Linked DNA regions of Mus musculus. The protein of the gene in region 2 interacts with the protein of the main gene of each other region in a biochemical or structural test. Links are inferred from orthologs where the notes say so. Each region holds a gene or a part of one and is shown on either strand. Other genes may lie near its edges.

Region 1 (3,650 bases), on a different chromosome or scaffold from region 2:
GGATGAATCATGGATGGGTGGACTGATGGGTGCATGAATGGATGGGGGGATGAGTGACAGAATGGATGAATGACTGGAGGTGTGTACAAGTAGATGAGTAGATAGATGAAAGGATAAGAGGGATGAATGGGCAGATGAGTAGATGGGTAGATGTGTGGGCAGATTGAGGGGAGTGAGTGGGTGTGTGGATAGATGGGAGGATGGATATGAGGATGGATAGATGAATGGGTAGATTGGTGGATGAGTGAATCAGCGAATGGGGGTAGATGGATGGATAGATGGATTGATAAATAAATGAATGAATGAATGAATGAATGGTAAATGGATAGATGGGTGAATGGATGGATGATAAATGAATGAATGGACAGATGGATAAATGGATGGATATACGAAAAGATGAATGAGCAGGTGAGTAAATATATAGATGAATGGGAAGACTGGTAGCTGGATTAATGGATGGATGGATGGATGGAAGGGTAGGTGGATGGATAGATGAATGGATGAATGGATGGATGGATGAATAGATAGATGGATGAATAGATGGATGAATAGATGGATGGATAGGTGGATGATGGGTGGGTGGGTGGATGAATGGATGGATGGATGGATGGGTGGATGGATAGGTGGATGGATGGGTAGATGGGTGAGTGGGTAGATGGATAGATAATGGATGGGTGAATGGATAAATTGATGAGTGTATAGATGAGTGGGAAGTTGAGTGGACAAGTAGGTAAATGGATGAATGGATGGAATGGTAATAGAATGGATGGGTGGGTTGGCATACAGATGAATGGTTAGATTGAGGAGTCGATAAACAGATGAATGCATAGATGAAGGATTAGGTGTGGAGGTAGATGAATGGTGGATGGATGGGTGGGTGGACAGGTGGGTGGAAGGAAAGAAACATAATTTTCTGCCAACTAAGAGGAGTCCCAGGAATCCAAGTTTGGATGGTAGGACCTGGGGGGAAAAACTGTCTGGAGGAGCAGAGGATGATTTTGTTCATGAGCTGAGAGGCCTGGAGGAAGGCCCTAAGAGAAGCTGCAAATGAGATGCCTGGGGTCTCCTGGTCTGGGGAGGATAACAGACCTAGTTAGGAGTAAACATGGTATACATAGCTCCTGCAGCTGGGCCCTGGCTCACATGGGTGGGGCAGGACCTCATCCTGGGGATCCTGTCTTACCTGCCCCTCGGGAGAGTTCTTTACCTTTCACATGCTTGTTTTGGAACTCAGAGAGGAAGCGTGTGATGCGATCTGAGGGGATGGCAAAGGAGATGCCAGCTGCAACCTTGAGCGTGTTGATGCCGATGACCTCGCCATCCTGGGCAGAGAGAGAGAAGTGTGGGGTTATTTGGAGTAGTGCAAGCAAACCGCAGACTGCTGCCGAGCCCAGGGTAAGAGCACTCTCTCCAGGGAGAGTTGGCTGTCAGTGCTCCACTGAGATGCCCTCCTGTAACCACGGCTCTCTGAGTGCCCCACCCTGTGTACCACCAAATCCTGGGGATCTCTCTGTTCTTCCCCCTGGAAAGGGCATCTAGGAAAGTTATCGGGTTGCTCCTGCCTCCCCAGCTCCAGCATCTCTGCCCTAGGAGGCAGTGTCCACTGCACTCAGGACACCATCTATCCCCATCAGAGACTTGGACCCCTTCTGTCCCTTTCTATGAAAGCAAAGACCAGTGAGCAGGGCCACGGCAGCAGCTCATAATCCATTCGGAGCTCAGCTCCCACCCTGCCCTGCTTCATGGAGCCAATGCCACCAGACCAGGAGCTGCCCCAGTCAAAGGGACCCACTCCTGGGCAGAACCCCTCCCAAAGGCCTGACCATGGGAGGGGTGCAGGATGCTTGCCCTAGACAACCCAGCCAGGGCACTACCAGCTTGTCAGGGAACTTGTTGGGGCCTAGAGAAGAAAGTTAAGAATTTAGCCCTACCACATGAGCCTCTCCATCAGCAGCCTTGCCTGGAGAATCGTGAGTGTGGAGGAGACAGCCACCTGTGCAAGTCACCTGAGTGCCAGGGTACACTGTCCCAGCCCATGGGCTGCCCCATGGCTGTCTTCTCCAGCCCCAGCAGCGCTCCCATGTGCTGTGTCTTGTCCTTGGCATATCCTTCTCCACCCATTCCTTCATCTCCACACATTCACTAAATGCTTCCAGCCCCTGTTCTATCTCAGTGGTGAGGGCCGTGTCTCTTCAGAGCCTCCTCGTGTGCATATTACCACTCTGTCGCTAAGTTCTCAGAGCCTGGGATCCCAGCTGAATCTTCTGCCCTGTTCTGGAAAATTTTCAGCCAGAATGATGCTGAGGCTGACTCTGGAATGAGTGTGGGTTATAGAACTCATGGGTGTGGTCTCTTCTCTCACCTCCGATTATAACTGAGGATAGCAAGGCCCAGGGCAGTAACAACCTGATCTGTGCCCCCATTGCCCGATGTCATGGGGGAGCACATGGCCCCAGCCTGACCACTATTCTGTTGTCCTTGTGGATTCCAGGCATCATAGACCTAGGGCTCAGGTCTTCCTGGGCCTCCAACATGGCCACACTACTGACCACTGACTGCAGTTCCTAGGGCTGTATAGGGTTTGTCCCTATCTTTAGCCTGTGCCTCTGTGTAAGCAAAGCCTAGAAAACCAGACACTGCACTTTAGGGTTCACTTACCAGGTTCACCAGGGGTCCTCCTGAGTTCCCGTACTGCAAAGGAGAAAACCACTGTTAGCTGTGCCGTGAACTCCCCAGTGGTCCCCAAGCTCTTTCCCCACCACTGACTCCAGTCAGTGACAAGACAGGTCACCAGAATGGACTTCTACTGCCTTGATACTCAACCCAAAGACAGTGGCAGGCAGCTATCCCACTGACCCTCCAGGACTCTGCCCAGACCCTGTGCTTCCATGTTTCCACAACTTGCCAGTTGCTAGGCAGTTGCAAGACAGGCAGTGTCATCTCTACAGCTATGAATGGCTCCAGCTACCAGGCTACCAGTCATGGCAGGCATAGGGGTACATGCCAAGGCACCCAGGCTTGGAGATGTGAGAATGTCATGGTGCCATCCAATATAACCTTAATCTTAGTCAAGTGACAACTTATGCAGGTTAGGCTATGACCTTCCAAGGGTATGCCTGGGCCACTTCATCTCTGCAACTGTCCAAGATGGCCCATCCCTGGAGACAGTCACTGGGTGGGTGGATGCTCTGCATGAGATAACAAAGGCCTTCCTAGATGGTGGTGTGTTGTATGATAGGACAGGGCACAAGCTGGTCCGAAGTTGCCGAGGTCAGCCTTCCCCACAGCACTCACATTGATGATGGCATCGGTCTGGATATAGTCCATGTCTGAGTCCCGGAGACCCAGCTCCTTGCCATCCCGCTGGGCAGTGCTGACAATGCCCGTTGTCACGGTGTTCTGCAGGGCAAAGGGGCTGCCGATGGCCACCACGAACTCGCCAGGCCGCAGGTCTGCTGAGTGACCCAGCAGCAACACAGGGAGCTTTTTCTGGAAGGAGAAGGGTGTGAGAGAGGACTGAGGCTCAGACCAGACAGGGATCCTGGCAGGCTGCTTTCTGGAGAGGAAGGAGGCTATTCCCAGCCCCGAGGCCAGGCCAGCAGCTGGCTGAGACTAAGGCTGGAGTCCACAGAACCAAGGCTCATCTGAGG
Region 2 (3,750 bases):
GTTAGTTTCAAAATTACATCATGTATTTTGATCAAATTTTAACATTTTCTTTGATATGCTCAACAAAACAAACAAACAAGCCCAGAGCCCTATACATGGTAAGCAAGTATTTACTGTACTACATACACCAATACAATCTTTACAGGCATAACCTTTTAAAAATAAGTTTAATCCAAAATGATTCTGTAAGTTAGATTTATCTGTATGTCAAATTTGATATCTGAATTTCATAGTTTCTACACTATTTGATAATCAGGAAGCTTATTCTTTAAAGATAAAGCCAAAGCTTTTTAGCATTTCTCATGAATACAGAACAGTAGGTAAAAGCCAAAAGAGAAACATAAATACAGACCTGTTCTGTGAAGACGAAATAAGCCATACTGGATTTTACAATAAAAATTACTGATAAGTGGATGTTCATAAATACCAATTGCAAATACTTATGTTGATATACATCTATGTGAGCTTTAAAACTTTCTAGAATAAGATCAAACTTGTTTATAATATTCAAACATGTAAGGCACAGGAGAAAAGCAAAGTTTAGTTTTCCATCCGTCTTCTTCAGAAGTAACCAGGGTTACCATTTTTTTTTATCTCTTTCATGGATCCATGTGACCCAATCCAAACAGCTATATAAGCTTATGTTTCTGTGTCTGTAGGTAGAAATCTATCTGACCTAAAATGTTTTCCATTCTTAAGTTATGGGGAAAACAATCCCTGACTCAAGTTTCACATACATGTTTACTACACTGAAAATGACAGAAATGTTAAATAGAATATACTTAGATATTTGCTTAGAGGTTATATTGAAGCAACAGGAGTGGGGTGGCCAGGGAGCTAGAAAATCTGAATTCTAATCTAACTAGCATGGCTAGCATGGTAACCTTACACAAATCATGAAACCCTGAGCCTTAGTTTCTGCTTTGTAAAACAAAAGAGTTGAGCTGAGATCCTTCCCAGCTCAAAAATGCTATAATTCTAAGATGGCCGGCTCTTAACAGTGTTCTCTTGAAACTGGCTACAAAAAAAAAAAAAAAATCCTATTAAGGAGAAAATGAGAAGAATGAAGAAACACTGTAGAACTTTCCAGTCTTTAAAAAAAAAGACATTTCTAGGATTCATTCACTATCAAGGTATAGCTAGGATGTCAGAAGTAGTGCCATAATTGTACTTGAAGGTAAAGTTGTAGATTATTACAAACTGATAGGTTTAGTCTTCCCCAAGGCTTATGTTCTCCTTTTTGGAGATGGAGTGAGCCACTGCTTAGTTTCAGCAATCACCACTCCCTTCCTCCCTCCCGCCCCTGCTTAAAAGAAAAACACCCCACAACTCAAGTAAACTGTGGAGTTCAACGGAGTTAAAGTAATGGAACTGAAAGTCATAAGTGACATTTTTTTCTCTCAGAAATATGCTGGGGAAGTGACCAAGGTGACAAAGAGGCAAAAATTACCAGCTACTTCCTCCTCTGGAAGCTCTTTGGCCCTCATTCTTTAGGGTTCACATGCCCTTGCCAGAAACACACCACCCTGCCCCATACAAGGTATCGAACTGGGGGGGGGGGCAGGGAGGTTGATCAAATCTTTTTTTTTTTTTTAATTATTTTAACTAGATTTACCTTAGGTGTCACGAAGTTTAAGGAGGCTGACCCGAAGGCTTGAAGCCAGCCCCCCTACCCACGGCTTCCAGGGGCAATCCCGGGGAGCCTGGATAGGGAGCCCAGTCCAGCATTCCCCGCGGGCGGGCGGGCGCGGCCTTCCCGCCCAACTAGGCAGAGCTAGCCCAGGCGGAAGGGAGGGGGAAGAAATGGAGGGAAGGAAAAGGAGGGAGGGAGGAGAAGGGGGGGAGAAGGAAGGAGGGGGGAGGAGGAGGAACGCGGGAGGAGGGAGGAGGAGGGAGGGAAGAGCAGAGCAGAGGAGAGGAGAGGGAAGAGAGGGGAGGGGAAGGGAGGGGAGGGGAGCAGAGGGAGAGGAAGGGAGGGCGGGAAACCCACAAGAGCTGTACCCACCGCGCCAAGCACTCCAGTCCTAACTAAGCGCCGCGGGCGACGGGTTCCCGAGGGGAGGGTCCCGGAGGAGGGGCGGCCCGAGCCCGGATCAGGAAAACACAACTCTGCTGGGCGGCGGGCCCCGGCCTAGGAGAAGGAAACGGAAGTCACTATGTCTGTCTCCCTCCCTTCCTTCCTCCCTCGGCCTTCCCAGGCAGGACAGTCCCATCGGATAAAACTCGAAGACCGGAACCAAGTGCATCCACGTCAGGACTTTTAAAAAAAAAAAAAACTCAACCGGTGCAGCCCGCCAGCTTCCCGGGCTCGCCCAGCCACTGGCCTCAGGCCATGTCCTTCCCACCGCCACCCCCATCCCCTCCCCCGGGAGCTCCGCTCCCGCCCGGCAGAGCCCCTCCTTCTTTCCCACTCCGCCATCTTCCAGCCTACCTCTCTGGCCGAGCGGCCCTCGATTAGCGTCGCGCCCGCTCGGGGGACCGCCAAGGTCCCGCCGCCTCCCAGAGCCGGAAGGGGACATCGAGAAAAACCCCAGTCCTCATTATGCAGCCCAACCCCCCCCCCACCCCCCAACCCCCGCCTCCCCAGCTCCAAGCCAGAGCCTGACCCAGCGGCTGCACATGCGCACAGGTCACTTCTCAGTCCCCGCCCCCGACTCAAGCATTTCCTCTTTTAGCATCCAGGACTTTTTCTCTCCCCCCTCCCCACCGCCCCCCAGCTTTTACCTGGACTCTAGGGTGAGGAGTAGGGGAATACAGGTAAGAAGATTAAAGACCAAGGGGAAAAGGGCACAGTACATTGAGCTCTCACAGGATACCAGGGACTCTGCTAGGTATATAACATATTCCTCAATGTTATTTTGAAAACCATGGAAGGCAGAACACCTCTATTAAATTCCACCCTACAGAGGAAACTGAGCCCCGGAGAAAATAATTATCCCAGTATCACCCACCCGACAAAAAAGTAAACTGAGATTAGAGAATCGGTTGTTTCCAAATAGAGGAAGCTAGAAGGAATGACGAGACAGGGAGACAAAAAGAGGGTGAGAGAAATTTGTGAAGAACAAAGAAAAATAATAGAACAAAGATGGAAAAGACACAAGAGAAGATTATACAAAATGGTGATCATGCTATATGCTTGTAGGGTTGTCAGATAAACCTATACTTAGGTTTCAGGAACTTTGACTCTTAATGGCTAGTGTACTAAGATGGATTGGGTATATTTAAAAGGAGAAGACCATGGGCACCATCTGCCTGGTTAAATAATGCTGTCCTTGATGAAAAGGAACTTGGAAGAGAAGACAAAGAAATGTATTTGGTTCTTCAACTTTTGCCAATGTAATATTCCTTCTAATGCAATCTTTTTTAAAAATTATTACATTGTCTTACTGTATGAGGTCAGAGGGCAACTTGAGTCTGTTCTCTCCCAGCATGTGGGTTCTAGGGAAGAACTAATGTCCTCAGATTTGGTGGTGATGCCCTTCCCCACTAAGCCATCTGTGTCCCAGGCCCCCTGGGGTGTACTCTTACAGCTCTGAAAATTGCATCTGACTTATTACAATGAAGGTAATTCCAAGCGAGGGCTGGGAATGAGGCTCAGTAGTAGATCACTTGTCTAGCACATACAAGGTTGAATTCAAACCCCACCACTGCCAACAAAACAACTGCAAGCAAATACTGATCTCACCTGTCCAGCACTCTTAAATAAGCAAACCAACAAAGCTCCATCTTTATCAACAGAAGGGTCAGAAG
Region 3 (3,650 bases), on a different chromosome or scaffold from region 2:
CCATCCCAGTACTGTCCATCATCTTGTCTGTCCATCTGCCTATCATTCTATCTAAACATGGCGCTAAAACCCGTGTGGAGATATACTTCAGTCCCAGTGCGCCAGGATGGCTTGTCCATCCCCAGGAAGCTCCTCACTCGGCTCCCCAACTCTCTTATCTCTGTTTCCTTTCCCCACAGAACAGCTGGTAAAAAAAAATTTAAGAAAGGAAAAAAAAAGAAAAGAAAAGAAAGAAAAGCCACCACCATGAGTGGGTTACAAATACAGCAGGCAAAATCCACGGCGAGCAATGGTGGGATGGGGTTCCTCCCTCACTGGCCAGTCAGCAACCAGTCTCTTATTTACACTGTTCACAAACCTTGTGCACTGCACAATCAGAACGAGGCGCCCCTCCCCAGAAACAACAATGTCTACTCCTGCATCTCCCCGCCCCCCATCCCAGAGTGGGGCGGGGACAGGTCAGAGAAGGGAGGAAGAGACAGAGACTTATGAGGATGTCTGTGGGAGAAACGGAAGCAGAAGCCTCCAGAGAAATCTAATTGAAGCATCTGCCAGCACTGGTTAGGGGGAGAGGAGAAAGTCCTTCAAGTCTGTCAGACACATCAATCCACGAAGGGGCGTGCGTCCTCTCCACCTTCTGGAGGGCAGCCCCACAATGCTGCTCCCTCCTTCTGCCGTCCTCGGGGCCTGGCCAGCATCTCCCTGTCAGGGCCACGTGGGTGTCTCTCCCAGAGTTTGACAGGCCTGTTAGAGTCCTTGTTCAGTAGATGACCTCGTAAACTGTGGCCTTCTTGTCACCAGAGCCTGTTACAATATATTTGTCATCCGCTGAAATGTCACAGCTCAAGACAGATGAGGATTCTTTTGACTGGGGGAGGAAGACATGGAGAAACAGGAAGACATTTAGTGTGGGGAGAAAACAGACAGGAATTCTCCCTGGCACTTCAGGGCTCTGAACGAAATCGCATCCTACTCTCCGGCTCAGGCTGAGCAGGTGCTGGTAGAAAGAGGCCCACTTCCTCTGCGGCTTGGAGTCCCTTCCTCCTGCCTCTTCATCTGGAACACCTCCTGAGCTGGCTGTAGTAGGATCTTCCCCAGGTTTAAGGATGAGAACAGGACACTTAGCATAAGCATCTCTGCTAAGTTTACTGATGGGAAGGAGCGCTTCAGAGCCACAGCCGCAAGAGACAGACCCTTCATTCAGCCAGGCCAGCTGGAAAGACTGGTCCTGGGTTTGCAGGCCCTCAACAAAACTAGAGACTTTCCAAGGGACACACGTGGCACAGGAAGCTGAAGAGTGTGTGTGTGTGTGTGTGTGTGTGTGTGTGTGTGTAAGAGCAAGAGTGGTTGTAAGAAAAAAGTGATTATAAGTTGCACCAGGGAGAGAGGATTGAGTGTGTCTGAAATGGAGAGGCTCTAGATCTTTAAATCTGTAGAAACGCATGTCCATTCTAGCCCCCTCATCACACTGATGGCTTAGGGTGGCCATCCTGACCTCAATGGGTGTCAGTGGGTGAAATGGCTACTCCACGGGCCCAGCTGCCCAGAGCCAGCCAAGCTCACTATTTTACGCACCAGGTGCCACATGAGTGAGTCCCTTCCTAGATGCTCTTACCCTCAAGGATTCACAAGCCTTTAGCAACAGAGGGTGTGTCTTTATCTGGTCCTCACATCCTTCCCTCTGGGGTCCGCCATCTAGTAAGGGCTAGTGGGGGTAGGGGTTAGTAGGTCTGCTCCTAGCTCCAGACTCCTCCTGTCCTGCCTCCGGCTACCCTCAGCCCAACTGCTGTGGCCGCATCCCGACTCGGGAGGAGTGGGGAGGAAAATCAGGAGTGTACCTGGAAGATGCTGGCTCCATAAGGCGTCCTCCAGGCATTGAGAAGGTTGTCTTTCCCAGTGCTCACAAACCACTTGCCTGCAAGGCAAGCAAAGGAGCCCTCAGACTGTGGCTCGCTGCCTTGTGCAGCAGGACCCAACCCAGCTGTGTCTGCCCCGCGTGGAAACATCCTCAGACATGCTTGACCACGGTTTTAGTGTTTGCTGTTCTCCACTCCTGAAGAGCAGTTACAAGCATGGCACACAGATACCTAGAGGATGCCTTCCCCTGCTGCCCAGAGGGAGAGCCAGAACAGAACAAAATGCAATTAACTGTGTTGAGCATGTTTCCCAAAAAGATCCCTGCCAAAGCCACTAAAGTCAGCTAGTCCTTCCCAGTCTATGACCAGAAGGTGGAGAGAGCACCAGAAACAGCCAAAGACCAATAGTCAGAGAGGACGTTCCTCCAAGAGCGCTCCTAGCTGTGGCTCCTAACATCCCCCACAGCCACGTACTCTTCCCAGACAGTTTCTCTGAGGCTAAGAGTTGGCACCATGTGTAACCTTCAGAGAAGATCCAGGTCAACATGGAAAGCCTACTGTCCTGAGAGTTTAGTGTCCTGGAGTGACATCCATATCTAAGACAAGGGTGGGGGACAAGGAAGGTACTTTTCTCCTCCAGGACATTAAAGGAGCATAAGCTTGGCTGACTCAAGACTGTGGGTCCCCTACTTCCCCACTGTCTACTGGACCAGGCTCCCCATGCTGGCTCTCATGCCAGGCTAGGGCTTCAGGGCTTACCACAATAGGCGAACTTGAGGGACAGCACGCAGCTCTCGTGCAGGTGCAGCTGGTATTTGTCGGGCTTAGTGTGGTGCAGGACCTCCACATTGCTGCTCTCCATGCCCACGGCCAGCCACTCCCCAGTGGGGCAGTAACCCAGGGAGAAGATCTGCAAGGACAGACAGTTCAGTGTCCCTCTACCCGCAGGGCTGGAGCAGCCCCTTGGGTAGGGTTAGAGCCTCCTCCCTCCTCCCTCACCACTTACAAACAAATCCGCTAACCAGCTGTCTGTTGCCCCTACCCGCCACCCCAGGATGTCATTTGTATCCCATTGAGGAAGCTGGCTTTGGAGGTTGAGCAGGAGGGGCTGCAATTCCCAGGCCCTGAAAGCTATGCTCAGCTCACTCCCTAAGAAACTGGCAACGACTATACTCCACATTATGGTACTGACTGTTAAAAGGATGAAGCAAGTCTAACAAGCAAGAAATATCATGGCTCATGGGCGAGGTTCACAGGAGGCTTGAGTCAGGTGCCCACCCCAGAGCTGGGAGGGAGCATGCGCAAACTGCAGAGCACAGGGAGCAAGCTGTGGACTTAGAATGAGTTGGGTGTGTGCCCATTTCTGAGGGCATGCATGCCCAGTCTACACCACTGCTGCTGCTTACAAGCAACCTTCCCGGATTGGCTCGGGCTGGTCCCTTGGCAGTCAATCATGACCCTGTGTGGTCACTCTGTCCCCTGACAGCTGCTGGGGCCCAAGAGGAAGCACACAGTGCTTGGGTTACACACCTGGGAGGTGAAATCGTGTTGCTGTAACTGCCGTCCTTCACGTAGGTCCCAGGAGCGCACGGTGTTGTCCAGGCCCCCGGTCCACAGCTTAGTGCCATCATGAGAGATGTCTATACAGCTGGCCCCATCTGTGTGGCCCTGGAACTGCCTATGAAGGCCAAGCAAGGAAGAAGGGTGAGCCCCAGAGACTGCAATCATCCCAAGGACTGGGCCAGCTACGCAGCCAAGCTAGAAGGAAACTGGAAGTACAAAACACTGGATCAC

What was found.
Region 1: of the proteins of Xiap (region 2) and Htra3, one has a biochemical effect on the other in vitro, tested with the Homo sapiens proteins (3 studies listed by BioGRID and IntAct, with this or other methods). The link is inferred for Mus musculus from reciprocal best matches to the Homo sapiens genes XIAP and HTRA3.
Region 3: of the proteins of Xiap (region 2) and Tle3, one has a biochemical effect on the other in vitro, tested with the Homo sapiens proteins (2 studies listed by BioGRID). The link is inferred for Mus musculus from reciprocal best matches to the Homo sapiens genes XIAP and TLE3.

What each region holds. Positions count from the first base shown.
Region 1 is NC_000071.6:35,662,756-35,666,405, forward strand, and holds part of Htra3 (serine protease HTRA3 isoform a precursor), read right to left. Parts: intron 3,490-3,650; coding exon 3,295-3,489; intron 2,692-3,294; coding exon 2,659-2,691; intron 1,323-2,658; coding exon 1,208-1,322; coding exon of another isoform or gene 1,184-1,207; intron 1-1,183. UniProt on the Homo sapiens protein: Serine protease that cleaves beta-casein/CSN2 as well as several extracellular matrix (ECM) proteoglycans such as decorin/DCN, biglycan/BGN and fibronectin/FN1.
Region 2 is NC_000086.7:42,066,738-42,070,487, reverse strand, and holds the start of Xiap (E3 ubiquitin-protein ligase XIAP), read right to left. Parts: upstream 2,653-3,750; 5' UTR 2,432-2,652; intron 2,338-2,431; exon of another isoform or gene 2,132-2,337; coding exon of another isoform or gene 2,006-2,131; exon of another isoform or gene 1,616-2,005; intron 1-1,615.
Region 3 is NC_000075.6:61,413,827-61,417,476, reverse strand, and holds part of Tle3 (transducin-like enhancer protein 3), read right to left. Parts: intron 3,535-3,650; coding exon 3,387-3,534; intron 2,767-3,386; coding exon 2,616-2,766; intron 1,916-2,615; coding exon 1,839-1,915; intron 869-1,838; coding exon 761-868; 3' UTR 1-760. UniProt on the Homo sapiens protein: Transcriptional corepressor that binds to a number of transcription factors. Inhibits the transcriptional activation mediated by CTNNB1 and TCF family members in Wnt signaling.